Rattus norvegicus: one gene and its partners. The protein of the gene in region 7 interacts with the protein of the main gene of each other region in a biochemical or structural test. Links are inferred from orthologs where the notes say so. Each region holds a gene or a part of one and is shown on either strand. Other genes may lie near its edges.

Evidence for each region.
Region 1: the proteins of Nherf2 (region 7) and Sgk1 form a complex in vitro, tested with the Homo sapiens proteins (2 studies listed by BioGRID, with this or other methods). The link is inferred for Rattus norvegicus from reciprocal best matches to the Homo sapiens genes NHERF2 and SGK1.
Region 2: the proteins of Nherf2 (region 7) and Podxl form a complex in vitro, tested with the Homo sapiens proteins (3 studies listed by BioGRID and IntAct, with this or other methods). The link is inferred for Rattus norvegicus from reciprocal best matches to the Homo sapiens genes NHERF2 and PODXL.
Region 3: the proteins of Nherf2 (region 7) and Pth1r interact in a test that uses a peptide from one of them, tested with the Homo sapiens proteins (2 studies listed by BioGRID and IntAct, with this or other methods). The link is inferred for Rattus norvegicus from reciprocal best matches to the Homo sapiens genes NHERF2 and PTH1R.
Region 4: the proteins of Nherf2 (region 7) and Slc26a3 form a complex in vitro, tested with the Homo sapiens proteins (2 studies listed by BioGRID and IntAct, with this or other methods). The link is inferred for Rattus norvegicus from reciprocal best matches to the Homo sapiens genes NHERF2 and SLC26A3.
Region 5: the proteins of Nherf2 (region 7) and Kcnj1 form a complex in vitro, tested with the Homo sapiens proteins (2 studies listed by BioGRID and IntAct, with this or other methods). The link is inferred for Rattus norvegicus from reciprocal best matches to the Homo sapiens genes NHERF2 and KCNJ1.
Region 6: the proteins of Nherf2 (region 7) and Cftr form a complex in vitro, tested with the Homo sapiens proteins (4 studies listed by BioGRID and IntAct, with this or other methods). The link is inferred for Rattus norvegicus from reciprocal best matches to the Homo sapiens genes NHERF2 and CFTR.

Annotation. Positions count from the first base shown.
Region 1 is NC_086019.1:24,798,701-24,802,234, reverse strand, and holds the end of Sgk1 (serine/threonine-protein kinase Sgk1), read left to right. Parts: intron 1-190; coding exon 191-286; intron 287-835; coding exon 836-991; intron 992-1,094; coding exon 1,095-1,184; intron 1,185-1,593; coding exon 1,594-1,761; 3' UTR 1,762-2,844; downstream 2,845-3,534. UniProt on the Homo sapiens protein: Serine/threonine-protein kinase which is involved in the regulation of a wide variety of ion channels, membrane transporters, cellular enzymes, transcription factors, neuronal excitability, cell growth, proliferation, survival, migration and apoptosis.
Region 2 is NC_086022.1:61,107,506-61,111,598, forward strand, and holds part of Podxl (podocalyxin precursor), read right to left. Parts: intron 3,110-4,093; coding exon 2,892-3,109; intron 2,593-2,891; coding exon 2,521-2,592; intron 618-2,520; coding exon 470-617; intron 252-469; coding exon 190-251; intron 1-189. UniProt on the Homo sapiens protein: Involved in the regulation of both adhesion and cell morphology and cancer progression. Functions as an anti-adhesive molecule that maintains an open filtration pathway between neighboring foot processes in the podocyte by charge repulsion.
Region 3 is NC_086026.1:119,592,574-119,597,361, forward strand, and holds the start of Pth1r (parathyroid hormone/parathyroid hormone-related peptide receptor precursor), read right to left. Parts: upstream 2,999-4,788; 5' UTR 2,954-2,998; coding exon 2,879-2,953; intron 2,700-2,878; exon of another isoform or gene 2,596-2,699; coding exon of another isoform or gene 2,584-2,595; intron 1-2,583.
Region 4 is NC_086024.1:53,760,950-53,765,042, forward strand, and holds part of Slc26a3 (chloride anion exchanger), read left to right. Parts: intron 1-1,603; 5' UTR 1,604-1,692; coding exon 1,693-1,823; intron 1,824-2,331; coding exon 2,332-2,471; intron 2,472-4,093. UniProt on the Homo sapiens protein: Mediates chloride-bicarbonate exchange with a chloride bicarbonate stoichiometry of 2:1 in the intestinal epithelia. Plays a role in the chloride and bicarbonate homeostasis during sperm epididymal maturation and capacitation.
Region 5 is NC_086026.1:39,060,290-39,064,933, reverse strand, and holds the start of Kcnj1 (ATP-sensitive inward rectifier potassium channel 1), read right to left. Parts: upstream 3,294-4,644; 5' UTR 3,145-3,293; coding exon 3,109-3,144; intron 1,929-3,108; exon of another isoform or gene 1,807-1,928; intron 1,033-1,806; coding exon 1-1,032. UniProt on the Homo sapiens protein: Inward rectifier potassium channels are characterized by a greater tendency to allow potassium to flow into the cell rather than out of it.
Region 6 is NC_086022.1:47,586,311-47,590,403, forward strand, and holds part of Cftr (cystic fibrosis transmembrane conductance regulator), read left to right. Parts: intron 1-705; coding exon 706-869; intron 870-1,748; coding exon 1,749-1,874; intron 1,875-4,093. UniProt on the Homo sapiens protein: Epithelial ion channel that plays an important role in the regulation of epithelial ion and water transport and fluid homeostasis. Mediates the transport of chloride ions across the cell membrane.
Region 7 is NC_086028.1:14,174,321-14,178,891, forward strand, and holds the start of Nherf2 (Na(+)/H(+) exchange regulatory cofactor NHE-RF2), read right to left. Parts: upstream 3,200-4,571; 5' UTR 3,125-3,199; coding exon 2,912-3,124; intron 672-2,911; coding exon 471-671; intron 1-470.

The DNA of each region.
Region 1 (3,534 bases), on a different chromosome or scaffold from region 7:
AAAAGTACAGAGGTTTTAACTAAGAAGCAATCTAAATACACACACACACACACACACACACACACACACACCCCACACTCCCCACACTCAGAGCAAGTTCTCTGGTTCTGGTCTTTTCAAAGCACATGCTCACTGTGAGGACTGCTTGGTTCTGAGAGCTAACCTCTCCTTCTGATGCGTGTCATTTCAGTATCTCGCTCCTGAGGTTCTCCATAAGCAGCCGTACGACCGGACAGTGGACTGGTGGTGCCTCGGGGCTGTCTTGTATGAGATGCTCTATGGCCTGGTGAGTAACACACAGAATCATGCCCGTGACACTTAGAAAACCTTTGTGGATCTGCTCATGCAGGGTTAGGTACTGTGGCTTGTCCTTATCAGTAGCCTTATCAAAAGCTAATAAAGGAGACACTGATTATTTTACATTTTACAGTTTTATAAAGTCTTCTGGATTTTTTTTTTCAATAGTCTTGTTTGAATCTTAGGGTAGGCCCTGGAAATTGTACTGAGCAACATTCCCAACTCTTCTGCACAGTTTACTTAACCTGTTCCAGTATTATTAGCCCCAACACACACACACACACACACACACACACACACACACACACACACACACACACACACACAGTAAAATAGGGAAGGGACCAGCTCAAATCCAGCTTAATACGAGCTTAGCAAGCACTGAGGAGGGAAAAAGAGAAGGATAGGAAGAAGGGAAGAAGAGACAAAGGGAACAGTTCATGCCTTCATAGTTTCCCTGCTGTGTGTCTGCTCAGCTCTGGATTTGAGGCAGTTTTTGATCCCCCATGAATCTGAAGGAATTCCCTTCCTTTTCCAGCCTCCGTTCTACAGCCGGAACACAGCCGAGATGTATGACAATATTCTGAACAAGCCTCTCCAGCTGAAACCAAATATCACCAACTCAGCAAGGCACCTGCTGGAGGGCCTCCTGCAGAAGGACCGGACCAAGAGGCTGGGTGCCAAGGATGACTTTGTGAGTGTCCTGCTGTCACGGGACCTTGGGGGAAGAAACCTTGACCTCATGACCTTATATTAGAGTTCTCCCGCATCTAAATGAATCTGTTTCTTTTTAACAGATGGAGATTAAGAGTCATATTTTCTTCTCTTTGATTAACTGGGATGATCTCATTAATAAGAAGATCACGCCCCCATTTAACCCAAATGTGGTAAGTGTCTGTTTCTGGTGTAAGAATAGTGAGACCCAGAAGGTTTCTTTTCTGTCAGAATTTGGAGAAACAAATAGCAGCTACCATCTATCTATTGACCCATCATCCCAGAGGAGAATTATTTTATGTATGTTTTTATCCCAAATTCGTTCAGTGAATATGAATGCATTTATTATCGTTTCCAGTCCTAGTAACATGTATCTGTAATATCTGTACCTCAGGACTAAAACAGGATAAGGAGTTTGAGGCCAGCCTAGGATACATAGTGAAACTTTGTAATCAACGATATCTTTCTAAACTTTGGAACCTTTAGAGTTAAGTTCATAGTGGAGGGTATAGGACTTAAGGACTCCTGCCCTTTGCCCTGTGACCTCTTTAATGCTGAGTGTACTTCCCCTTCTTTTGACAGAGCGGGCCCAGTGACCTTCGGCACTTTGATCCCGAGTTTACTGAGGAGCCGGTCCCCAGCTCCATCGGGCGATCCCCTGACAGCATCCTTGTCACAGCCAGTGTGAAAGAAGCCGCGGAAGCCTTCCTTGGCTTCTCCTATGCCCCTCCTATGGACTCCTTCCTCTGAAAGCTCCCAGGATGGTTCCGAAGGATTTCCTCAGCGTTTTTCTAAAGTGTTTTAGTTAGCCTTTGGTGGAGTTACCAGCTGACAGAACATCTTAGAAGAGAAATTTGCACACCAGGAAGCTTGGCAGTCCCGCCTGCCGGGCGCTGCACGCGGCTTGACGCGGAAGCTTTCCGGAAGCTTTCCGAAGAGCACATCCTCCTCTCAGTGAGCTAGTGAGGTCTTCATTTCTTTTCTTCCTTCCAACGTGGTGCTAGCTCTAAAGGAGCTTGAGAGTGCCGCCTGAGACGCACCTTGGTCTCAGTGAGAAGGAAGATGCAGGTCTAAGAGGGATCTCCGCAGGTCTGAGCTGTGATCAAGAATATTCTGCAATGTGCCTTTTCTGAGATTGTGTTAGCTCCAAAGCTTTTCCTATCGCAGAGTGTCCAGTTTTTGTTTGTTTTTTTTTTTTTGTTTTGTTTTTTGTTTCGTTTTTTTTCCCAACCCTTGCGTATTTCCCATGTGTGCAGTTAGTGTGAGTGCTATGCCTGATCACAGACAGTTTTGTTGTAAGCATCAATGTGACACTTGCAGGACACTACAATGTGGGACATTGTTTGTTTCTTCCACATTTGGAAGATAAATTTATGCGCAGACTGTTTTTTTTTTGTAAGATATAATAACTAAAACCTATTGAAACGGTCTTGCAGTGACGAGCATCCAGATGCTTGAGGGAAGCATTGCTGCTACAAATATTTCTATTTTTAGAAAGGGTTTTTATGGACCAATGCCCCAGTTGTCAGTCAGAGCCGTTGGTGTTTCATTGTTTAAAATGTCACCTGCAAAATGGGCATTATTTATGGTTCCCCCCAACCTTTGTTCATTTTCTTTTGCATTCCTGATTATTGTGTGTAAAGAAAGTCTGTACATTGGGTTATAACACTAGATATTTAAACTTACAGGCTTATTTGTAAACCATCATTTTAATGTCCTGTAATTAACATGGTTATAACATGTACACTCCCCCCTACTCACCACACAACTTTTTTTGTGTGCGGTGAAACCAATTTTGGTTTGCAATAAAATCTTGAAAACTATTTGCACAAATTGTGTCACTTGTTTAACTTTGTTATGTTTCGGTAAACTGGATTTAGGACGGGGGAAATAATGGATCAGTTTGAAGATAATTTCGGTAAGCTCGGGATAGTAGCACACACTTTCCATCTCTGTCACTTGGGAGAGGCAGGGGGATTACGGATTGGGTGGCTTCCTTACTTCAGGGCCCTCGGAGGTGGGTGGGAGGCAGGTGGTAGTTTGCCAAGGCTGGCCTCATAACTTCTGGTGGAGGACTTTTGCTAGCACGTGAAGGCCTGGCTTGCATCTCCTCCAGCACTGAGAACATATTCTACCTTTACCCCCAGTATTTTGTGCTGCCAGTCATCAATCCATCCAAACAATGCAATAAGGTCATACATTGTATATCACATCATGTTCCCTGTGTTTGACTGTCTCGTGAGGTCCTGTGGACGGCTTGTCCTCACATTGGGCTTATCAAGTGACAGGTAATTCTTTAAGCAAATATGAGGAAGTGGGGCTGGGCTCTGAATGCTTAGAGACATGATACAGGTTGTTGCTTTCTGTCAGGGCTGCGGACTCTGTTTGCTGAAAGGTAATCTGGGCAATAGTATAGAGTGCCACCAAAGAGGGCACATTCATGTCACAAATGCCCATGTTCCCAACACGCTCTCCCGGAATGGGCGAAAGAAACAGTTCCTGCCTAAACCAGTGGGAGCTAGC
Region 2 (4,093 bases), on a different chromosome or scaffold from region 7:
GCAGGAAACAGAGTCCGGACCTCCTGTCCCCACTCTAGTCAAATGGGAGCCCTTCTTCTGTGTCTGCTGCCCCATCCTACTGCCCACCCTGTCCACTGGGATGTGCCTCTCCTGTATACTTATACCATCAAAGGGCCTCTTACACCAGAGGACGCTGGGCTTAGGACAGTACAGGGCAAAACTTCTTACCTCTGTCAGGTCGTCCCATTTGTCCTTCAGCAGTTCAAACACAGCCTTAGGAGAAAGCTTCGCTGTGGGAGAGACAGAGACCAATGCCTCCAGAGTCCAGCCCAGAGTGAAATGGCAGGGGCAGAGCGGGTGCCCCAAGAAGAGGATGTCCTGTATCCCAGTCCCTCTGGTCTCCTGGGATGGTTGCTGGCTTGTATATTTTTAGATGCCTCCACTCCCCAACCATTCTTCTGGGGCACCCCCGCCCGCACAGGCCCAGGTCCCCTCACTCTCGACTCACTCTCAATAACGATTCTCTTCACTGCCACCGCCTGGTTGTCTAGAATGGGGGCCAGCTCCAGAGCACACGAATCCTCAGCTGGCTTGAAGGAGGCTTTGGCTGAGTGACACAGCAGTTCCAAGAATCTTTCATTTGGAGGGCTCCCCTTCTAGTGTACAGAGAACACAGGTGATTCCCAGGCTGTGCCATGACTGCTTGGGCTTCTGAGGCTGCCCCCTGCCCACTCAGCCTGCAAGAGTCCCTTCTCCATGCTTCACTGCTGCTACTCTAGGAAGTAGCACCAGTGATCGCCGGGAATTAAGTTTTGTATTTTTCTCTCAGGTTAGTCCTTATCCTCTCAATCTCATTCCAAATTCTTTTCCCATTCCCCTCAGCCTGGACATCTTGTCTGCATGTCACCCCCGAGGCTTCCTCTGTCCTCCCTGCAAGGTCCCGGAGGCTCTGGAACCAGTGACTGTATTATGCCTCAGCTAGGAGTGGGATAAAACAGGGTATAGGAGCTGTGGCACTCCTCCACCGCCAGGGGAGAGAGGCAATGCAGGGATTGAAACCTGCCAGTCTCTAGCCTCTTGTCGCCACCTCAGGCTGAGAGGGAAAGAGAAGCACACAGGTTCTGGGGATATCCACAGTGTTACGTACATGGACCTAAGCCCAAAGAAGACAGAAACAGGGTTTTCGGGCTGATGCTGAGGTGTAAGCTATGGGCTTTTATTTGGCACTGCCAGTTCAGGCATCGCTCACTGATGTTTTCCTTCTCTGATTCTGAATTAAATGCTAAGATTGAAAGCATGAGCTCTTGACCTTTAAGTCTCCCACATGCTACCCCCCCTACACTTCCCATATGCCAGTTCCTTTGGCCTAGAAGCGCTTTACTCCACCACCAGGAGTGGATCCAGCACTTTCCATCATCTTTTTCTAGAACAGGGAAGAATGTGTCCCAGTAACAATACATATCCGGTGGACTTCAACCTAGACATTCATCTTGGGGGCAATTTCAATGCTATTCCTGCCTTCTCACCAAAGCTCAATCCCAGAACAACGTTTCTCCCTCTAAACCTCTGATGGCCAAGTTTATGCCTCTGTAGTTCACTCAGTAAGTTACAGCAAAACAAAACCCCTGGAAGAAAATAGCAGAGCCCAAGGTCTCCAACCTAGAGAGAACCCAAGCAAGCCCTCTTCTATTCTTGATCCTAGAAGTGGCTGCAAAAATGGCAATGGCCAGTAGAGGGCAGCAACGAATCAGCTGCCTCCAGTACCAAGGAGGTCAATGGCCATGTGCTGTGCAGGTCCACCAAACCCTTGGTCCCAGAACACTGGTAGTGTGAAGGGAGCTGTACACATTTCTATACCCTCTTATATGGATCTATGCAGGGGACCAGGAACTATGGCTGCACTATCAGGACAGAGGGCGACTGCTCAGAATGTAACTCTCTTCTGAGGCCTTGGAGAGTGCTTCCTCTAGCACTCCTGTTACTTTTTTTTTTTTTTTTTGGTTCTTTTTTTTTCCGGAGCTGGGGACGGAGCTGGAGACCGAACCCAGGGCCTTGCGCTTCCTAGGCAAGCGCTCTACCACTGAGCTAAATCCCCAACCCCTCCTGTTACTTTTAATAAGAAAAGTCTCATTAAGTTGCCAGGATTAGCCTCAAATACACTTGGTGGCCAAGGCACCACTTTGACTTCAGTTCTCCTGCCTCAATGTCCTAACTAGCTGGAACTAGAGAGGGGTGGGGGTGGGGGTGGAGAAGGGGAGATGAGAGAGAGGGGGAGGGGGAGAGAGAGGGGAAAGGCAGGGGGAGGGGAGGAGAGGGGAGGGGAGGGGAGGGGAGAGAGAAAGAGAGAGAGAGAGAGAGAGAGAGAACGCGTGCAACTAGAGCAGTAAAAGTGGTGGCGCGTGCTCTGCGCATGCTCTGCACATTCTCTGGGCCTGAAGCAGGCCTGTGTGCACTGCCTGACTTAGAGAAGTCTAAACTTGGATGGGAAAAGACTATTCTCCCTTTCAGGAGCTCACGTACTGGGTGGGATGTATGGTGAACTCAGGCATGTGTACTCACACAAAAGCTGTCTCTTGTGAGGTTCAGAATGAGGAGTTCCTCGTGGGGCTTTATGGCAGGATCACATTTTAGCTGGAAGAGGTCAAAAGATGAAGGTTTAGGCACAGAGTCACCTGATCTTGGATTCTCCTCTTGGTGAGCGTGGGTGGCACAGGGGAAGTGCAGATAGCATGCTCCGGCCTGGCTAGTCAGTTCCAAAACCAGGAGTACCTGGTTACCCAGCCTCTTCGGAAAACTGGGTAAGAACGGAGGAAATGGGAGACAGACAACTTTTCCTTAAAGCGCCCGCCCAACCAGGGGCTCTGAGAAGGCCAAAGGAAAAGACTTCCCTTGAGTCTGGGCTTTCTCACCCCATGCTCTGCTAGAATTACCTTGTAACTCCCAGACGTCCAGGTGGAAGAGGGTGTGCTCGGGCCTTGAGAGACCACTGGAGTCCAACTAGAAGTGGAGTGTGTGAATTCTTCGGTCGTAGGCACCGACTCAGTTCCCCCTGGAGACCCCGTAGGCTGTAGTGGTGTGGAGACCGGTGTGGTGATGCCTGGCGTCGAGATAGCGATGGGCTGAGTGCCTTCAGAGGTGCCTGTCGGTTCTATAACAGACAAAGCAAAGGCGGGGGAAGCCAGCTGTACCAGCCAAGGAGGGGTCTTTTCTGGCTTTATGATTCTCACAAGCTGACACCAGTAGCAATGAAAAGGGAAAAGGCAGGAATGACAAAGTACTGTCCTGGGCCGTGGTGCATAATGAGTTAGACTTGGATAAAGTAAGAACTAAGCAGGAGTCACAGAAATTACGCTGCAGTTACCTCTCTGAGGCACAGATGGGGCCCGTGGACAGGCGAGCCACAGCTAACAAACTGTGCAAGCCTTGTAGGAGGGGCTGTGCTTGGTGTTTAAAAGGCATGTGCTCCTTTCAGGCAGTCCCTGCTTATGAGCAGGGAAACTGAACCTTGGTGACTTGTCCAAGGTCACATGGTACAACTGCAAGACTGGACGATTTGAACAGACCACTCTGAGCCTGTGCACTCTGAGCCCTGCCACAGGGTGTGGCCCTGTCTCCCAGGGCATAGGCTCATGCTCAGAAACTCCGACTCGGGATTTTAAGGCTCTCGAGCTGGCCATAGATTTAAGCACCCAGTTAAGGCTGGCACTTTTAAAACTAAGTAAGTAGAGACAGAAATAAGATTGGATGTGATGGTGCAGCATTAATCCCAGCATCTGGGAGGCTGAGGCAGACAGATCTCTTGTGAGTTTGAAGCCAGACTGGTCTACAGAGCGAGTTCCTTCCGGGCCAGCCAGTCTCAGAAAAGGAAAGGAGGGAAGAACAGAGGAAGCGAGGGAGGGAAGGAGGAAGGAAAGGAAAGAGAGGAAGAGAGGCAGGAAACAGCAGTACGCATAACATGCCACAAGTCCTGAAAGAATGAATGAAAGCTTGTAGGAGTCGGCCACTCTCCTGTTCCATTAGATGTGACCAGGGATCCAACTCAGGTCATCAGGCCTGGCAGCAAGTGCCTTCACACACTGACCTTTATTGACTTATTTTTACTTATTTAAAAGTGTGCTTCCTACGGTGGGTT
Region 3 (4,788 bases), on a different chromosome or scaffold from region 7:
TCACCTAGAAGAGTCCCCTGTGGAAATCTGAAGTCCTGGGTTCAAATGATCCAGATCTCACCTCTGCCAGTCTTACACCGTGAGCCTCAAGGTCATTTCCCCATAGAGTGGCCAGGGGAATGGGCGGACTGATAAAACACATACGGCGGGTTCTAGCTCAAGACCCTATGGAAAGTCACTGCTTCATACACGTTCTTTTTAACTTTTAAAATCAAACCTCTTGGGGCCGGCCAGATGGCTTCTCAGGTAAACTACTCGCCATCTGAACTCAGTACCTGAAACCAGCATGGTAGAAGGAAAGAACTCACTCCTGCTTACACACGTAGGCACGCGCACACGCGCACACACACACACACACACACACACACACACACACACACACACACACACAAATAACAAATGTTAAAAAAAAAAAAAAGAACCATGCAGGAAATGTTGCCTGCGCAGCCAGCCTAGGAGACTACGCTTTCTCTGGAGAGCCCACACCCAGACCCGTCTCCCTGTTGTGCATCAGCTTCTGTGGCTATAGCTTCTCTAAGGCATCCTTAGGGCAAGGAATCTCATAGGAGAAGACCAGCCTTTTGCCTGCTCATAAGCCAAGGGCTTATCCCCTCCTTTAGACTTCACTCCTGTGCTCCTCTCCAGGCTTCTAAATGAGGAGGGCAGATGGACCAGGTGAGTCCAGCTGTGGCCAGTGTTCCCACTGTAGGATGCTCTTTGGTCCCCCAACCAAAGTCCTGCCGCCTGTAAGTTTGATGAAGCTGAGGTGGATGATCCTCGTCCATACCTGTACACATCTGGGTAGGGAAGGAGCCTCTGGGCTTAGGAAAGAGAAGGAGCAGGTTGCCAGCTGTTGGCTGACTCCGGCGGAGCCCAGGGATCCCACAGGTTGGTGGGTGAGTGAGTTGGCCGAATCCCTGGTCCTTGGACCTGAAGCAGGAGCAGGTCCAGTGTAAGGGCATGGTCCCTGGAGAGCCACACTAGCATCTGTCTTTCTGCCTTCAGCTTAGGGTCCTTCTAAACCAGGAAGTTCTCTGCATATACGTCAACTTCCCTACAGAGAACTATAGGGCCCTAGGAGCTCCATTCTACCACACTTAAGGTGCAGGGCTTGGCACTTGGTTAACATAAGAGACAATGGCCATAGTGATTGTGGATTTGGAGGAGATAAAAACAAAATAGGGAAAAAAAAATACCTTTCTCGGAGGATTGTGGGTAAGACTTAACTAGCTGATCTGCGTGAAGTGCTTAGAACAACGGACAGACGAACGGAAAACACAGAGGCATTTGTTGAATACAGATGAGCAAACAATAGACCCGTGTGCACACCCGCAGGGTGCACACAGGGTGCACACACACGCGCATGTACAGCTGTGCTTCCCTCAGAGTCATATGCGGATCCACAGCTCCAAGCACACGTGAACTTGGGTACGCACAATCCTACCGACCGACTCAGATGTCCACAGAGTCTTACACGGATGAACATTCTGGCACACACACCCATCGGCCGGTCTAGCAATGCACATATATGTGTGCACTCGGGGAAGTCACTGAGAGAAGTTCAGCAAACAGCTCTCTTCCCCATGTCCTGTTGGGATTATCTCCTGAACAGTGAGCTCAGGACCTCCGAACTTGCTTCCCTGTGGACAAGTTCCCTTCTGAGGCAGTCTCTGGCTCTGGCTTTCCTTTGCTGGACTAGAATTGGGGTATGGGCACAGGAAGAGGACATCAAACAGCAAAGGTGTCAGGTAAATGTTTCTCTCATGCTCTCTGTTCACTGATGGGCAACTGAGGTGTGGAGAAAGACAGTCAGTCCAAGGTCACACAAGCCATGGGCTGAGCTGGAGGGTTCTCAGAGCTCCTGTGTCCTCTGAAGGAAGCTACTGGCTCTGTCTCTCTAGACCTTGGTCAGGGTTGGGGTACAGGGACAACAGGACCTTAAAGTCAGGCATAAAAGCTGATTCAGGAGTAGGTTGGACACTTGGGATAGAACCACTAAGGGGATGAGAGGACAGAAAGTCTCCCCTCTCTGAGAAATAGCTCCCAGACCCTAGCCCAAGATGAGGTCACGGTCCAGCTCTCTGTCTGTCTGCTGTTCTGAGTCTCTCTCCTTGCTGCAGTCCAGAACTCTCATCCTAACCCCTTTCTTTGTCTGTCTAGCCCTCTCTACTTTCTTGGTATCCACTCTCAGACCACGCACAGCACCCCCCCGCCCCACCAAAAGACCAGCATGTCCTACAGTAATACCTTCTGCAAAGTGTACTATGAGATCAGTCTCTTTCAGGGGACCTCCGTACCACACCCACCTCCCTGGGCAAACTGACTTCCACTTTGGGTAAAGCTGTCCCATTCGTGCATACATCTGTGCATCTGTAGGATCTTGGGAATTGGAGAGGGCTCTAAATCCCACCCTCAAATCCTAAGAAGTCTAAGTGATTTCTGACTTCTTGCACACAGCTTTAAGCACCGGGTGCAAACAAAACTTGCGAAAACGGAGCCCTCCCTTCCCCCGCAGCGCAGTCTGTGAGACTCCACACGGAGAGCCCGCTGAATCGCACTGTTACCACTGAAAAAGATACATACGACCAGAGCCATATGCTCACAGAAGCATGGTGTAGGGAAACTCCAACCACAGGTTTCCAGACCTAGGACCCCCAAGCCAAGTCTTCAGAAGTGGGGAAACATCAGGCATCTGGAACCTACGGTAAGACACCCCAAAGACAGCAGACACCAGGGTTCCTGGTTCATGGGGGGAGGCAGAGGTCCCATCCCAAAGTTCAAACTATTAGGAGAACCCCAGAATGTGAGCCTCCACTTGTCCCAGGAACCCCAAAGCAACCCCAGGATTCCTGCGGAGTGTGCACCGAGAGAGACTTACCAGCGCATATGCGGAGCTGAGCACTGGGCAGCAGAGTAGGAGCGCCAGGCTGGGTGCGATCCGGGCGGCCCCCATCGCCACCGCCTAGGGCCGCGTCCCTCGGGGCAGCCGCCGCCGGCCCTGGTGATGGTTGGAGGGTGCAGAGCTGCGTCAGGCCGGGCCGCCCCGCCCACGTCCTGGCCTAGGGGACCCCGGCGTCCGGGCGGCCCGAGGCCCCGGAGCCCGACGCGGGGCCCATTCGCCGAGGGCGAGCGAGAGAACGAACCGGCGCAATGGAGAGAGGGAGGGCGGAGGGAGGGAGGCAGCCTGAGGCCGGGCGGGCGGCGGGCGGGCGCCGAGCGCTGCTGAGCGGCCTGTCTGCCTCGGAGCGGAGAAATCACATCCATATGGCTGGGCCCCCCGCCCCCGGCCCGCCCCCCGCTCCCCTCCCGCGCCGCCTTTTCTTTCTTTCTTTCTCTCTCTCTGTCTTTTTCCCCCCTCTTTGGGGGAACTGGGAGCCGTGGCTTCGCTCCACGCCCAGTGGGGGAGGGGCGGGGGAGGGGTCGGGGTCGCGGTCTGCGGGGGGCGACCAGGCTGTTATTTTTAGCTCCGCGGCAGTGGGCAACAGGGGAGTCGGGGCGGGGCAGGGGGCGCGTTTCGAGTTGCGCGGGGCGTGCAACTAGGGGATGCCATCCTGACTTTTGCAACGACACTGAGCCCTTTGGCGTTCCTGCCGCCAGCTCCGGGCTCTCCTGCGGCATCGTGGCCCAGCTCTCCCGCTCAGTCTGGACCCCCATGCCCTTGGTGGCCGCCACCCTCTGCACCCCCTTTCCCATCCTCCGAACCCGCGCCGCGTGCGCCCGCCCGAGAGGCACAGGCGCTTCTGCTGCCCCGACGCTGAGGCTGCACGTCTGCTTGTCAGTCGGTCCTTAGCTACCGTCCACCCCCCTACCCTCCCCGCTCTCCCCGGCCTTGGCCTCTGCTATTCCAGCGGCCCCAAGCTCGGTTTCGGTCACTCCCTCGCTCCCCCCTCCCCTCCTCTACGAAAACATTTGCAAGTTTCCAAAAAAGCCACCGAACTGAGCGGCAGCGGGGCTGGCGACTCCACAGGGCTCCGAGGAGGCGCCGCAGACTGACACGGAGACGGAGCAGCCGGGCCCGCCCTGGCCGGGCCCCGAGTCCCTCCTGCCCCATTCCGGCCTCCTGCGCCCCGCGCGCCCGACCCCCCTAACCCCCCAAGCCCCGACTTACTCCGAGCTCGCCGCCGCGGCCCCCGCCTTGCCATGAATGTCGGGCCCCCCCCGACAGCCTCCCCAAGCCAGCGCCCCGTTCGCAGTCCCGGGGAGACTTCATGGAGCTCTCGGGATCCCCCTGGCCTGCCTGGCCTCCAGAGCCCCCCGCCCGGACGCTGTTCCGAGCCGCCGCCCGCCTCGCGCGTCCCTCGCCTCGGCGTCTGCCGCTCCCCTCCCCCCGCGGCCCGGAGCCTCTTCCCTCCCTCCCCCTGCGCCCTCCCCGGGCCTCCTCCGCCCCTGCCCCCGCCACTGCCTCCCAGGCTGGTGTGTGGAGGACAGAGCCCAGCCCGCTGCCCCCCACCCCGGGACATCTCTCCAGAGACCCTCCCCCGGGTCTTTGGGCAGCAGGATGAGTGTTGCGGGGACGCAGTCTAGTGAGCTCTGACATCGGAACTTGAGAACCGTGGCTGGGACGCTGTCCCGCTTTTGCTTTATTCTTTCCTTTGGAAAAGCACAGACCACCCACCACCCCCGATCTTCCGGCCCCGGCTGATGAGCGGGCGGCTACACCAGAGGAGTCACTGGGGAGGCCGCCTAGTATTTCCCGCGCCTCGAACCGCGGCGCTGTCCGTGCACCCGTGGGGTTCCTGTTCTGGCTATGAGGGGACCCTGGGGAAGCTGCTCCGCCTCCAGCTAGAG
Region 4 (4,093 bases), on a different chromosome or scaffold from region 7:
AGCAGAATGTTCTGCAGTCTTGTTCATATTGGACAATACATTGCATGTCATAGAATAAACAGAAAGGTCTGATAATGGAGGTCCCATTTTTGGCATGGTTAGCTATATGAAGAAAAGACACTTAGATTGTATTAGTACATGATTATTTTTTCTCATCTGTAGGATGAGGATACTAATAGTTAATGCCTTAACTGTGAGTACTAAACTAATAATGCATATAAAGGGCTTTATAAATTGATCCTCTTCTATAAAAGAAACAAAATAGAGACATGAACTAGAAAAATCTAGATACCTTATATCACTGGTTTTCAACCTTCCTAGTGCTGCAACCCTTTAGTACAGTTCCTCATGTGTTGACCCCCCAACCACTCATCACCTTAAGTCTATAGATTTTTCTATTCTGGATATTTCTAGTTATAAATTGTATATAAATGGTTTTTGGAGATAGAGGTTTGCCAAAGGGGTCATGACCCACAAGTTGAGAAATGTTACCTTATATAGAAAATATTATTTTATATTATTTCACCTTTTTTTTTCTTTTTTTTTCGGAGCTGGGGACCGAACCCAGGGCCTTGCACTTGCTAGGCAAGCGCTCTACCACTGAGCCAAATCCCCAACCCCATTATTTCACCTTTGATTGATTGTTCTACACAGTTATTTATTCTATAGTTCATAGGATTGATCCTATGGCCTCATAGATGCAAGTGTACTGAGCTATAATCCAGCCTCAGAAAATGTAAACTGTTACATAATAACCACCATTTGGTTAACATCTGGAGCACGTCATATACATTAGTGGAAGTTTTGAAACTTTTGAACATCCTCAGTCCTCACAGTCCACAGCCATGGATATCATCTCCCAATGTATAACAGAGTCTCAAACAGGCTAAGTCAGCCACCCACAGTCTTTCCTTGGAAAGAAACTTGTCATTCACGAAGTAAACAAGGTTATATTTTGTCTCTATATAGTTTCCTTTGACTCCCAGGAACCACAGGAGTATAAATGGACAATATATTTGGTTTTCACAAATTAAAACCATTTTGAGGTCTTATTTTAAAAAACAAAGCTCTGATGAATAGATTAGAAGAAACTTGATTAGAGTCAAAGGGAAATGATTAGGCTTCGATCTGCCCCACTGTTCCAGTAGCAAATCTTTGGAAATATCTGTAGAAAAAAACAGTTGGTGATAAACCCTCAAGAACTGTTTAGTAAGTAAACCAAGTTGATTTATTGCTTTTCAGCTCTACACTTTAACTCAGCATTTGGAAGTCAGAAATGGGTGGATCTCTGTGAGTTCCAGGTGAGCCTGGTCTACATACCAAGTTCCAAGCCAGCCAGGGCTACTTAGTGAGACCCTGTATCCAAAATAAAAATAAAAACAAAAACAAGAAATCGTTGTTTAGTTAACCCAAAGGAGTTGTGTCTGCTTGTTGAAGGGAAAAGTGGTATTGCTGTGGAAAAAAAAAAAAAAGTGACCCAGGTCCCTTAATCCTGCCCTCTTTTGATCTCGAAAGGTGGTAACATTCAGTTCGGAGCTCACTCATCTGTAAATTGCATCACATTATCTGAGTTATTTAAGAAGCAAGCTCTGTTTGGTTTCAGGCATTTTAACCTGCTAACAGCCAGAAAGAAGCGCTCACCACATAGTTTCAAAGGTCTTCCCATTTGCCACTGTCACCAGGGAAGGCAAAATGATCGAAGCCATAGGGAATCAGTATGTGGTGGCCAGACCGGTGTATTCCACAAAGGCTTTCGGAGAGGAGTTTAAGAAGACATACGGACATCACAAGACATTCCTGGATCATCTCAAAGGGTGTTGTAGGTAAGAGACTCCTGAAGTACTGGAACGAGGAAGGAACGACGCAGTTTCTTCTAAATTTTCTAGCTTTCAAGTTTTCCTCTCTGGCTCAAGTCCATAGCTTCAGGAATCTGCCATCCTTGCTTTCCAAACCTCTTACCCCGCTGTCTGAGGTGGAAAGGCAAGGGAACACACCCTCTCAGCAAGCGGCAGAAACACAGCTTCCAAGTCAGAGACTAACAGATGGAGACAGGCAAATTCCCAGTCGAAATGCTGCACAATTCAACTCAGACTGGCACACAAGTTCTTTATAGCTGAAGAAAAGCTGGCATTTTCCTTTAAAAGGAGAAAAGTTTCTTTGGTAGTGACCAGAAAGCTTTTGGCAGGGGCAGAGAGGCGATTGTGAGTGGGAGTGAAGTCACCACTTTTGTCTTTAAGATGATGTCATCGTTGTCAACTTTCTACTTGCTCTCAGGAGCCGGACTTAAAATCGATATTAATTCACTGACCTTGTGGCTTTCAATGTTTTCAGCTGCTCCTCACAAAAGGCCAAGAAAATTGCCCTGTCTTTGTTCCCCATAGCATCTTGGTTGCCAGCATACAAGATAAAGGAATGGCTTCTCAGTGACATCGTCTCTGGCATCAGCACTGGGCTGGTGGCTGTGCTGCAAGGTAACTTTGTCTTCCTTTTTCTCCTCTGTTACTTTTTCTTCTATTTTGAAGATATAATTTGCATATCATAAAATTCACTCTCGTGATTTGTGTGTGTGTGTGTGTGTGTGTGTGCGCACGCACGCGCTAGAGCAAGGCTTCACACCTACTAGGTTTGCATTCTACCGACACATTATACGCCAGCCAACCTTTTTGATATGTGTAACTCCGGGGGTTATTCATAGAGGTTGTGCATCTAAGATCACCAATTCTAACATATTTACCACTACCTTCTCTTCACAAATGCACAAACCAAAGCCTTTTTTATTTGATGTAGGCCCTTCCTACTCCTTCCTCCACTCATCACCTTAACCATAAATCTACAGATTTTTCCTATTCTGGATATTTCGTGCAGATGGAATTGTCTGTTGCACTCTGCATCTGATTCTTTACCTCTTAGCACCATGGCTTACTCATATAGTAGCAAGGACAGCATTCTGTGGCATGGTTTATACCACACTTGGTTGAACCTTTGAGTCATTTCTACTCAGAGGGATGATGAACGAACGATCTGTGAACATTTGTGCCCATTGTATGCAACTCTTTCTGTGAAAAAGATGTTTCAATGGTCTGAATCTATCCCCAGGAGTCTAAGTGCTGGTCCTGTGGTGGAAGGGTTTAGTCATTTGTAGAGGTGCACAACTGTGTCACTTCCAACCCTCCCACCAGCACATGTGGCTTCAGATCTTCCAAGGCGTCCTGCTTACTCTCTCTCTCTTTTTATCTTTGCTATCCTGATGGGTGAGAAGCAGCAGAATCACATCCTGGCTTTGGTTTGTATCTCTTTAATAACCAATGATGTTTACTAAGTATCTTCTCTTTTCTTGTGCTTGCTACTCCTGTGCATGCCTTTGGAAAAATAAGTCTTCAAATCCTTCATCATTTACTTCATTTGCTTTCTGTTTGGTGCTGGAGATCAAGTCCAGGGCCTGACCCAAACCAATCAAGAACTATATGACTGAACTAGATCCCTAGTTCTCCTTGCTGGAGATAAAATTTTAAAATTTTAGGTCCTCCAGCTCAGTAGAACATTCAGTGATAGAGGAGAAGGGCTGAGATGTGCTTAGTTGGTAGAGTGATTGCCCAGCATGCTCAAAGCCCGGGGTTCCATTGCCAGCACAATAGTAATCAGGTGTAGTGGTTCATGCCTGTAATCCCAGCATCTAGGAGGTGGAGGCAGGAGTATCATAAGTGTGACTGTATAGCATGTTTGAGGCCACCCTGGGCTAGGAGGTCCTGTCTTTTATTACAGAGTTGCAAGGGTTATTTATATGTTTCTGACACTGAACCTTTATCTGATACATATTTGCCAACAGCTTTCTTTTTTTCATTCTCTGTATTGTTCCTTCACTTGTTTTTGAAACTAGAGAAAGTCTCATGTAGCCTAGGTTAGCCTCAAACTTCTGCTCTTCCTCCCTCTATGCCCCAAGTGCTAAGATTACAAGCATGTGCCTCCAGGCCCAGTCTAAAAGGAGACTCGTTATGGTCACTTCCTGAGTCTTCAATGGGATTAGGGGAGAGCAGGGTAAGTCCATGGCAGATATACTACCATTCAGCCTCAGCTAGGTCCCCAAACACTCTTC
Region 5 (4,644 bases), on a different chromosome or scaffold from region 7:
GGCACAGTGAGGGGTCTCCACTTCCACTGTCTTACCGAAGTTATGAAAATCCACTCGGTATTTCCCTTCCTTGGTCTTGGACACAATAGGAACGAAACGGTAGCCCCAAAGTACCTCCTCTGGGACGTATGACGTGCGGACCTGGCAGGTTGCACTGGTGGATTCCACTGTGCCATCTAAAAAGACCACCAGCTCAAAGTCCTGTTGGGAAAGAGTTTCTGCTGCCATGTGGAAGAAAGGGCTGTTGTGGTCAATAATGTGGTAGATCGTCAGTGGGGATATGAAGAACAAATTTTCATTGCCAGCGTCGACGACAAAGTTGATGTTGGTCTGATCCAAAATGATGGTCTCGCCTTCAGGAGTGATGGTTGTCTTTAGAAGCTTGCCATATATGTGGCTGCCAATCAGAAGGCTCTTCCTAAGATTGGCCACTCGGATGAGGAGGCAGAGCTTCCCGCCACGCTTGCTGATCACCGCATTCTTGCTGAACGTAATGGTTTTAGCACGTTTTTTAGGTCTAGAGATCTTGGCTAAAATGGCACCACACATGAAGGAATTGATGATCACTCCAAGAATAGATTGGAAGATAAGCAGGAAAATGGCAGTGGCGCACTGTTCTGTCACAAACCTGAATCCGTAACCTATGGTCACTTGAGTCTCTAGAGAAAACAGAAAGGCTGAAGTCATGCCATTAATGTTCTCCACACAAGGAGTGCGGTTGTCAGGCGGGTAGAACTCTGGGAGGTCCTTATGAACATACGCTACGACATACCACAGGAGACCAAAGAGGAACCAACTCCCCAAGAAGGCTGTGATGAACACGGTCATTTTGTACCTCCATTTCAGGTCCAGCACAGTTGTCCAGATGTCCACAAAGAATATAAACCTTGACTGTGCATCCACATTGCCAAACTCGATGTTACATCTTCCTTCTTTAGAGACCAGCCTTGCCCGTTGCCGGGAACGCCCAAATATGTGAGTGACAAACCATCTTCGGAGGTGTTTGAACATCCTTTCTGTCAGTGCCCTGATCTGAAAACATATTAGAGGGTTGGTAAGGTTATAGTTGTCGCTGTGGTAAAGGAGGTGACGCACATACAGACCCATACACCTCTGAGGAGAAAAATTCTAAATCATTAGGCTTGTTAATCATTCGCATAAACCAACTCGTCTGTTCTGGATGCCAAAATAAACTATACGTAGCCTCTATGTCACACAGAAAGTGGGAAAGACACCAAGTGGAAAGTTACTAACAGACATTATGCTCAAGTATTTCCTGACACCAGTCTGTCCCACAGGACCTTAAAAATGGGACCCATTAGAACCTTGTGCTTTTATTTATTGGATGTTATTATGCAAATCACTTCTGTTTTAAAATCTAACCTGCTGCTATGCAATAATTTTTGTAATATCATAAACCTGGAGGACTGTTCATAATTTTGTGATATATAAAAATAAGTAACTGAAAGAGAAAACTCATCAATATATCACTGTATCAATATATCCCCTAAATTGTCTTGTTTGCTGCTATCAATATATCTGGGGATATTCTGATCCAGTTCAGGTCGTCTTCTGTAAATGAAAGCACTAAGACTCAACAAGTTTCGGTGACTTCTCCAAAGACAGAGACCCAACCTACGGCTGGAAGTAGACAGCAGCTCACTGCCTTCATTCTGGACAGCTCTAGTCATGCTTGGGCTCATTTGTCAAACACCCTACCCTAAAAGTGTGCTTCCTAGAACACTTGAAGACAGGATTCACAGCCCACTGGGTGATCTCAGAAGCTCTGTCTGAGGATCTACATACCTGCTTCTACTCATCCGCCATGTTCTGCCAAGATTCCCAGCTGACATAGAATGAGGGTGGTCATTGATATTCCATACTATCAACCTGGCTCCAAGCTGATGCACGATGACTTCCCTGATGCTCTATGGAGGCAGGACCATGTTTAATCCCCATTCCTAGGCCCCACTTCCTAGTTCAGACCATTACCACTCTCTCCACCAGTACCCATGAGCTAACACATAGTAACAGAATGAAGCCCTCTTCAGAAGAATGTCTGCTCGTTTCTTATCAAGAACAGGTGTGTGTGTGTGTGAGAGAGAGAGAGAGAAAGAGAGAGAGAGAGAGAGAGAGATTTCCAGCAAAACAGTGATTGGGGCTTTCCCCTAAACAGCTAACAACAGTGAAATTCAAGGGTCTTAAGCCTAGAATACACCTTCCCCTGCTTCACCCACCCCCGCCCCTGCCAAAAAAGTCAAGGTGTGTCCATTGTGGTTAGCACTGCCTTTGTGGTATTTTTTCATTAAATGCAAAGATATTTTTAAAAATAGATCTCAAAATCCCCCTTCAGAAATGTGTTTGCTCATAAGAACTAGGAAGCGAAACCAGCTTAGTGACACATTTTAAACAAAAGTGATATCCCTCAGTGTCTTGTTCCTGGCCTTCACCCAGGTAAACATAGGCAGTGGTCACACCAAGTGGAGGCTGTGAGAGGAAAACCACAGCCCGTAGTGGTGTTTTGAAGTGTAAAGGCCAGGCACTAAAAATAAGGAGAAGAAAGAGTTACCAAGAGAGTCAAACAAGCCCTGCACACACTCAGGGCTCTATCCATCCCTGTCTGACTGCAAGTCTCCAAGAGTCAGACTAGGAGATAGTCCCAAGTGAGGCAGAGAGGCCAAAGGCTTCTTCTCCAGCTACTCCTGTGCACTGCACATGCACCTGACCCATACTCGATGGTGACAGATCCTCCCGTCCAGGCATGTGGAAGCTCATGTTTCCTCACAGATTTTCTTACCTATTAGCAATTCTAAGGCCAGCATTATCCACAGAATCCATACAATCTCCACCACACATTACAATTCAAGATGACTTGTAAAGCATCAACTTCCGAGCTTTCCTTGCCCTCCTCCCTTCTCCGCCCTTCTAAAGTTTGCTTCAGTTTGAAAGTGAAGGGCACTTCTGTAAAGTGAAGACATGTCCCCAGTAAGTTTGGGTTTTCCCTCGACTGTGTCAGCAAAATAAAACATTCACTTCCTGGCCTCGCAAGTGGTAAAACAGGAGCAGGCAGTGGCCGCATAGTGCGTTCCTCAGATAATCCACACTTACCAGCACTCTGAACACACTCCGTTCCGAAGCGCCCATGCTGGGCAAAGCAAGCAAGTGGTGCTTGTTCGACGTTGTCTGCACAGCAGCTGTCTTCTTTTAGGCCCACCTTAATGAATCTTAAGCTTTGGAATGACATTTACTTGCATTGGCTTTCAATGGCTAACTCGAGTGGAGTTGTGTGATTGGAGCCAACACAAGTGGATGTTCTCAGACCGAGCCTGAAGTCAGGTATACATATATATATTACTTTACACCTCACATGGCTTGAATACCGTCATGCTAAGACATAACAAACAACCAGCTGAGGTCCTGGGCAGCAGACGTGGATTGGGTGCCAGCGAGGCCCCCCTCTCCTTTGCCACGCTCTATAACCCTCTTACTGTTCTCCTAAGTCACGCCAAATAACATTTGGCTTAGAAACACTTACTTATCGTTCATCTCCCAGCCATTTTTCTGAAACACACTGAATACTAACCTTTCCAGGTGATCACAAAGATACAGATGGATGGAGGGTCACAGATGGGGACATGTTTGCAAGACAAGAATAAGATCAGACCAGGAAGAAACAAGATACCACATTAATCTCGCTCGACAACAGCCACTGTTATATAAGAAATGTGAGATATTGTTGTGAAGTTTAATCTGGAAAAACTGGACTTTACTGGGGCTGAGCTTTACACATACGGGATTATCCTACGAGGTTGAGTTCTTTGCTGAAAGAGTGAGGAGAACTAAGCTAGCCCAAGGAAAGAGGTAAATCCATCCACTAACCAAACCCATCAGTCACACGGAAGCTCTGCTATTATGCAGATCTCACTTTGCTTGGACTATGCCATTTAATGTAACCACAGACAGAGCCGATGTGCATTTATGAGCGGTTGGGCAATTAGAGATTATCGTTGGTGTCTTAGGTTATATAATGTGCCCTAGCGTTTAGGTTCCTTTCTATTGAAATCAGTAAATCTTAATAACAAGCAAAGGGCTTCACGTTAGCTAATATTTACCCAGGTATCCTTGGTGGCTGGCAAAACAAGTAGATTATATTCTTGCTGCTTGCTCTTTATGCCCTAGCCTTCTTATTCTGTAAATAGGACATTGGCAGAAAACAGGACTTTGCCCTACACTTCCTGCTCATTGGCTGTCTGCTTATTCCTTAGAATTTGAAAAATAAACAGTCTTCCTGTACTCAAGGGGCTCATAGTGAAATGAGGAGATGAAATGAGCATGTTGGAACCCACTGTGGTCTGTGACCCCCCCCAAAACAACTTCTCTGCTCAATTTCTCATCAGCTATGGATCCAGCAACTGAGGATGTTATTTCAACCAATTGCATACGCCTTTCTGTATATATTAACATATTCATCTATCATTCATCCACGGCGATGTGTTGACATTGCTGTATGTATCAGTCACTGTGCTGGACATCACAGAAGCAATGCCTGTGGACACTGTCCTTGACAGCCTGCAGCTTCCAGGTGGGCTAGGGAAGATGAACAGACACAGAGGACTGTCACTGTGATATGAATCATCAGGTACC
Region 6 (4,093 bases), on a different chromosome or scaffold from region 7:
ATTAGAACTCAAACAATTCTAAAGAAAGCTTTACTTTGCATTAGATAACAGTGATGAGTTCTAGAGTCCCACCCTTACCTAGTTTGGCTATTTCTGGAAACTGGGAAAGCTTAGTTTGTAGCAGAGCACCATTCTGAGGTCAGGTAAAATTGCCCAACTCAAACATACCTCAGCTTGCTCTTAATAATGGTTTTCAAAACTTAATCCTTATCAGACTTAGTTTGCTTCCTTTTAGTATAATACTTTAAATTGTTATTTAATTTGGCTAAATATGATACTCTGAGCCATTCTTGTTCTGTGCTGTCTTATGTCACAAGTAAATTCAAGGTCCTTGAGGACAGATACCATGTTTTATTTATCTTTGCATTTCTAGTATTTAATATAGCAAGTGTTAAATAAAGTTACTGTTGAATTGAGTACTTGTTCCCACATGTTCTATATGATGACCCTAGCTTCATTTTAAAAGGGCATTAATAAAACCTGGGCACAATTTTAAAGATGTACTATCTCAATTCCATGGTTAAAAACAATGCAGCAACTGTGCATCAATTAAGCCCAATACATACATTGTAGTATTCTCAGAACTGTGAATTTCGTGATTGGATAGATCTCCAGTGCTCTTTTCTTCCATATGTGTTTCTTCACTTGGGTTTCAGGGTAGAGTGTAATACGCCACTTGATTTTCTCTATGTTTTTATTTTTCAGGGACTTGCCTTGGCACATTTTATATGGATTGCTCCTTTACAAGTGGTTCTTCTGATGGGGCTTCTCTGGGACTTGTTACAGTTCTCAGCCTTCTGTGGCCTTGGTTTACTGATAGTCTTGGTTATTTTTCAAGCTATCTTAGGGAAGATGATGGTGAAGTACAGGTAGTGATCTTTGTCAAAGTCTGAAGGAATTTGAATTGAGCTTCTCTATGCCCTGACAATAAAGCCCTGCCATATCACTTAGAAGGAATTATTTAATTGTATAAATAATTATTTCTATAGCAAAAGGGTAATTATTTTCTCTATTGGTCTACAGAATTTCTTTGTGCAGATTTTAAGATTCAGTACATTTTTATAGTCATTAAACTTAGGTAAAATGGATATTGCACCTATATGAACTGGAAGGAATGCCTAAATTCTGTATGGAGTGACCTGGCCTCTTCCACTCCATATTGTAGACCATTCTACCAAAGCTTTTATTACTTGTATTGGTCATATGAGTTATGCGATGTGCTTATTACGGAGAATTTGTAGTTTGCATGTTTCAATGTGATAGAAAGTTAAAAATCTGGGACACAGACAGAATTTTGTTTAAGTTTGTATATACTTTCATTTGCCTCATGAAATGGAAGTGATCACCTCTTAGAGACTTTGTGTAGGATTGGATTAGAGACATTGTCCAATGTTCATCTATTGTGGGTATCTGACATTCTGGAGACATGTGCTAAATGGTACAATTCAATTCATTTTTTTTCTTCCTGTTTTTCTGAGACAGGGCTTCTCTCTGTGGCCTTGGCTGTCCAGGAACTCACTCTATCGGCCAAGCTAATCTAGAATTCAAGAGATCTGCCTGACTTTGCCTCTTGAGTGCTAGAATTAAAAGTGTATTCTACCTGGCTAGACTTTTCTGTGTTACCAACTGTTTAATAACAATGTTTGTGTAATAAAAATATGGAATTTCTTAAAAAATTTGAATAGTTACTAGTAGGTAATTTAACTTGTTTCAGTTATTGATTGGTCAATCAATTGATTGGTTTACAGAGATAAAAGAGCTGCAAAGATCAATGAAAGACTTGTGATCACATCAGAAGTTATTGACAATATCTATTCTGTTAAGGCATATTGTTGGGAATCAGCGATGGAGAAGATAATTGAAAGCTTGAGAGAGTAAGTTGACATAATTACAATATTGGTCCAATTTTATATTTAACATTTAAAACTGACCACTCAGGTGGATGTTCAACTTGTCCAAACTCTCTAAAACTCAAGCATATGTCCTGAGTTTTACAGTGGTTTATCCATCATTTGCATAAAATTATTTTGATTATTTCTTTTATGTTTTGAGACTGGTCTCACTATGTACCCTTTGCTACCATAGACTTCAGTATGTAGATCTAGAACTTAAAGGCGTGTCCCACCACACTGTTCCTTGGCTTATGGTTTTACAGTTGATTTGGTTTTTCTTTTGTAGTATATGGATAGTTATCTCTTACTAATGATTCTTCTATACTAGTTCATAGTTTTCATACTCTTAATTTAAATAATGATGAAGATGGTGAGTCTAATTAAAACCATAAGTGGAAATACTAAAATATATAGTTCTGAGAGAAAGGGGTGATCCTGTATGACACTGTACTTCAGGTGTTATGACTTACAAAGAATGGGTGACAGCCACATTTGAGCAACTTCTACCTGTGATTTTGAGCCTGAGGAATAATGACAAAAAAAATTTTCCTTAGTGTTAACTCATAAGGGGCTAAGTCAGTCCCTGTAACAAAAGCCACCTCCTGAGATGCAATCTTAACTTAGCACCTGTGTATGTCCCCTCTTCTTTCACCTCAGATAACCTTTTGCAGATGAGTAAAGATTACCTCTAGATGTCCCCTACCAAAAAAAAAAACCCATAAAAGTACAGCCCAGACTGATACATAATTACTGAGATAATTTTGGGTAAAAGAAAAATGAATATTGTTGTAGCCATGTAACATTTTTCTTTAGTTGACTTCCCTGTCCTTCCAATAACAGTCAAGGAAATGTTTTAGACTTCTGGGGGTGGATGCACCATAAAGGATACTACTAATTTAAAGATATAGGGTATTTGAGTATTTGACAGGGACAAGGAAATGCAGAGTGCTCTTTGCAATGGGTTATTTCATGTTCAGATGGCTGTGGACCTGAGGACAGTGGCAACTGAGCCACAGGTGTGTGATTGGAACAACAGTGGAAATGCTGAAATGTTAAGTCCTTTGCCGTGTAAATAAAAAGTGCAAAAGAGTATTTATTTTTCAAATATTATTGGTCACCTGTTTTTGTTATGCTTTTCAAGGTAAATCCAGGAAAGGAACTACATTTTCTTTCCAGAAACATCCTTAAAGGTCTTGGGGAATTGTTGAGTTGATGAAAGTTGTTTTTCACATTAACAAGTTGAGTGTGTCCTCACACTCTGCCAGGAAACAGTCACTGTAGGGCTTAGGAGGTTATCAGAGTATCCGGTTTCTCAGGCTTCACAATCAACTTGCAGAAGCTTGTTCCTGTGCCTGACAGTTTTTTGTTTCTTTTCTTTGCTGTTTTGTTTTTTGGTTTTGTTTGTTTGACATTGGTGTTTTGCCCTACTTTTCCTTACGTGATGGAATCTATCTTTCCTATTCTGTATTTCGGGTTGGTTAATTCTGATAGCTAGAATTTGTCTGGTTGTAACCTGTTTGATACAGCATGAAATTGTTACCTGAAAAGGCTGGAGAGTTCTGACGTAAAAAGGAAAGCAAGAATTGCTTTACTCAGCAGAGCAAATACAATGTTCTAGGAGAGACTGACGAGATGCTCTTATAAGGATGATTACCTCAGCCTAGGCTACTGTTGAACTGGGCCAAAGGCTATGCAAATGTTCTTGAAAATTTTGCCTTTTATTGCTTTTTAGCAATAAAGGCACTTTCAATTTTTTATAAGAAACTAATAGAATATTTTCATGACATAAAATGTTAGGGATTTTATATCAGTTTCTAGATGATTCTGGTAAGTTTGGATTGATTATTCTTTTTCCTTACTTCTCATTTTTCTCAGCTGTTCTAATATATTTGAACAATTTTGACACTTTACTACTATTTGTAAACAATTCTCTCCTTAGCCTCATGAATATATGTTTTATCTCTAGAAGAAAAGGGATACACATTGCCCTTTTACATCTTCTGCTATGCTGTCATCTATGCTTAACTACATCTCTACAAGGGAAGTATTAAGTTTTCTTTAGTCATGGGATCACATTTAATTAGGGGGAAAAATGGCTTCCTTTATACATAGGTAAGACAGGCAGGACCTGAATAATAGTCCACTTCCAGGACAAATTTATTGAAAGACAAAACACTACAATTCGTTAGGCTGATCACAAT
Region 7 (4,571 bases):
TAAGAAGCGTCCGCACGTGGGCCCTCCACTCCCTTTCCCTAGGAAGCCCCTGTGTTCTGGATCCCACACACTCCCGCCCACCCCCATCACTGAGCGGCTACAGCACTAATCCCTGATGTAGGATCTAATCCACCCAAGGGCTTCAGAGCACACGGATGGCTTAGACATGGATGCTTCAGACAGAGTCGTGGACAAAACCCAGGATGACAGATACCTAACACAGACATTCAGATCTTTAGAGCCACAGTAACTCCTCAGCCACTGGGACCTCCAGCAGAGGGAACAAAGGCCAAAAGAGTTGCTTCAGGTGGTCACCAATGGCACAGAGTGGCTACTGCAGTAGGGAAAGAGCCCTAAGAGGAAACGGAGGCTTATAGGAGTGACCAAAGGGAAGATTGTTATCAAGAGGCAGTCAGCGATGGTGGTTCTGGGAAAGACTCATTGTTCCCACAGACAAAAGCCCACCATACCTTCTGGCCTGTGTCCGAGCCAAGACTGCCTGAGCATGCCCAGTCCGGCTTTGGCTCCCAGGGGTTGTGGGCTGGCGGAAGCCCTCGATGGGCCATCTCCTCAGTGCAGGTCAGTTGCCGCCGGCAGAGTTCCTCATCTGTCTCCTTGTCCACCACAAGCAGCTGGGTCTGTCCCTCCACAGCCTTGATCCTCTGGACCACCTGGAATGGGTGTGAAGCAGGACCCGGTCAGCAGGCAACACCCTGGGCAACACATGGATAGGGCACCACTCCCGGCTAGGCCCAGGCTCATGGACAGAGGGCAGGGGTTGGCCTGCCAGGGGTGGGTAGCTGGACTGAGAGGCCTGCGGGCTCCACCCCCCACCCCCAGTTTCCAGCAGCTCCCTCCCTCGTCTCCCTGGAGCTAGGGCCCAGGCTGCAAGTACTTCAGGGTTCTCTTGTGGCCTTGTGTTCTCGGCAGGTGGGCTCCGGAGGAGCTGCTAGGAACAGCCAGATGGGAGAGTCAGAATCTGTTTAGTTGAGCTTCAGGATTTCAGTCTGGTCTGTGCATGGGTACGTGCTTAACTGTGTGTGTGCGTGAGTGTGTGTGTGTGTGTGTGTGTGTGTGTGTGTGTGTGTGTGCATGTGCATATGTGTATGCTTTGTGTGTATGTGTGCATATATGTGTGTGCTTTCTGTACGTGTGTGTGTGTGTCTATTTTAAAGTCTGGGGTTTTGGTCCAGGTGTAGGAGAGAGCAATGTCTTTGTTGACCCCAACTTCAATTTGCCTCCAACCAGGACCAGAAACCCATCCCTGCTGGACCTGCTTAGAGGTGAAGACCTAGGAATTCTAAGGTGCTCACACACGTCAGGTAAGCAGAACTCATCTCCAGCAGGTACCGAAGCAGAACAGATCTGCGTATCTGTCTGGATGGGTTGGATGGGTGCCTGTGAAGTGTGGGCCACCGTGGATCACGCAGGATGTTAGTATGTGTTCAAAGGGAAAAGTGCCCAGTGGACATCTGAAGGGCAGGAAGCATTAACAACCCCACCCCACAGCCTGGGAGTGAAGAGGCAGGATCTCCAGCGTGACTCCATGGAGTACATACCACCACAGATATGAAGGTCCTACCCAGCCAGGCCCATCTTTACCTGGCCCCTCAGTGATCGTCCAAGATGACCAAGAGAGCAGAAGGATCCCAGCACTAAGGAGCTAAGCCAGTCACCCACAATCTCTACATATCAGTAGAATGGGAGTCTTGGTTTTGCCTCCTATCTCCCTGAGCAGTAGAAGGATTCTACTGTGGCTCTATGTGAAAGTCTTTAGAGACTAGACTAGACAGCTGCATTCCAGCGACGGCTAGACGCAGGTAATACCAACTCTGCCAGCCTCTCCCTTGCTTTTAGGGCCAACCACTGGGCTTCACTCCCAAACTCTTCAGCACACAACCAAATCCAGTGGTCACAAGGCAGGTCGCCGGGAAGATAGAAGTTCAACTTTAGCCCAGCAAAGAGCCACTCTGCTTCCTCCAAGCCTCAGGACTGACCACTCACGTAGGTCTTGGACTTAGTGGTACTAGGGTTCCAGAATAAAAAAGGTGAAGGGAGACTGAACCCTAATCAAGGTTTTAACTGTGTCTACCCCTCGGTGGAATACGGACATCCCAGAGGTAGGATCTGCAGAGAGACTCCGCCACATCAGCCCTCCTCCTTCCAGCTGCCAGCAGGCAAGGGTTGCACAGTGACCTCTACAGGGCCAGGCAGCTCCCAGGAGGAGGCTTTTTCTGAGCCCAAGGAATAGGCTGCCACTAGAGCTGACTCCACCAGACCCAGACACACCAGCCATGAGAAGTACACTAGTATAACCAGGCAGGCAGGCACTCGTGAGCTCGCACAGGCGCGCGCACACACACACACACACACACACACACACACACGCACAGAGTCAGCACACATACCTGATGTGTCTACACAAACCTAAGCACACATTCCAGCACTGACACAAGTATGCTCTCAGCCACTCCTGGAACACTTGGGTAGTGTATTCATATGGATGACCCCAGGGAGACCCGCAAGCACACACACATAACTCACACACGAACAGAAATGCATCTATACCACAAGGCCACAAGGTGCCTTCACCACCTCCTCCCCCTCCATGGCACACGGAGGCCAAAACTAGCAGAAGCAGCCAGGGCCCTGGCCAGAGTAGCCGCAGTGCGGCCCCTCCCTACCAGGATGTCCTCCCTCCCCCGCTTGTGCAGGACTGAGCTTCCTCACCAGGAGGCCAGCTGGCGGGCCACGTCCCACACCTCAGTACCCGAACAGCAGGCCCCCATGGGACCCTTGACCGGTCCCACGATAGGGCACGCCGAAGGGTGGTCGAAGGCATCTTGGCCAGCGCAGTAGGGATGCGCCCCTAGGAGGGAACCGGGGGGCGGGGCGCAGCGCAGGGACCCACCTGGTGATGCGTCTCGCCCTCTACGTTGACGCCGTTGACCTCAACCAGGCGGTCCCCGGCGCGCAGCGCGGCCGCCTCGGCTGGGGAGCCTGGCTCCACGCGCCGGATGAACTGGCCACGGCGGCCTTTCTCGCCATGCAGGTGGAAGCCGTACCCTTGCTCGCCCCGCACCAGGCGACACAAGCGGGGCCGCAGCGACTCCGGCGCGGCCATGGCACCCGCTGCCCCCTGGCTGCCCGCGACTGGCCACGGCTCACACCACCCGCAGGCTGGAGCGCGGAGGCGGCAGAGGCGCGGGCGGGAGAGCAGGCAGCGGCCTCGGTGGCTCCTGCTCAGCTCGCGTCGCCTCGGGCTCCGACTTCGGCTCTGGCCCTGGCCCCTGCTCCTGCTGCAGCACCGCCCCCGCGCCCGCCCCTTCCCCGCCCTCCTGGCTGCCCCCGCCCTAGCCTAAGCCCCGCTAGCTAGGCCCCTGCCTGGGCGCCCAGAAACCCTAGGACTAAGGAGTGGGATTTCGCGGTCAGGCAACCCTCGAGTTCCTGGGAGTCCTATCTTATCCCATTTGGTCACCTTCCCTAGCGCCAGCACCTTTGGCTTCTGTTCCAGGAACCACTTTTTTTTTAGACACCTGCATATGCTACAGTGAGAGGGGTTCCTGAAATGGGAAGCCTCTTAGAGAAAGGGTCCAGTCAGAGACACACTACACAGACGCCAGAGGGGAAGTGCAAGGACCACTGCGCCCCTTCCTGGGATGCACCCCACCCTCTACCTATCGGGACTGTGCTGCCTGCTCCCTCTAGGTCCCCAAAGTTGTCTCATCCTGACCCAGAGAGCAACAGGCAAGAATAAGAAATTTAAAGAGACTACAGCAACCAAGGTCTTTGGGGCCAGCAAGTAGGTGGCCCCTGTTCCACCCAGCAAGTGTCTGTCTTCCGTATTCCCCTGTTTTTTGGGAACATGAGTTTATCTGGCAGAGATGGGAGGTATGTGCTGCCTTCCTCTAGACCCAGTATGAACTGTGCTAAGGACTTTGGCCCCTGAGCTCTAGGTGGTGATCTGTTGTCCCAAATTAAGCACCACAGGGTTCCCATTCCCGGTTCCTAGGTCTGTAGTCAACACATTCTTAGATTTACAATTGCTTAAGTTCTCATCTCCCCTTACAGGACAACAGTCCCACTGAGAACCCCTTATGCATTCGTACATGGTTTTCCAAGAACAACCCTAGAGAAAACCGACCATTTTACAGACCAGGACACTGAGGCCTGGAGAAAATCCTCTACTAGAGTCCAGTACTGTGAGACTGCACTTTCACCTTAAAGCTTCCTCCCAGGCTGAGATCTCACCCGCAGCCTGCTTCTCCCCAGTGCACAGCTCCTCACTTACCTGGTCCCCCTGAGTCAGGTAAAGCCAGCTCAGACAGTTCCCCATGTGGATAGGAGATGCGCCCCTAGCTCAATGTTCTCCTCTCCCTCCCCTCTCTCCAGAGCCCTTAACTGGGGCTTTCCACCTCCACCCAAGCACTAGGACCCGCCTCTCAGCAGCATCCTAGCCTTAGCCTCTTGGGTACCCACACCCTAGTGGCTGCTCCTGAAAGGCACTTAAGCTGTAGATACATTGTTGCTCCCTGCCCCCAGCCTTCTCTGCAGATTCTAACTGATGCTGC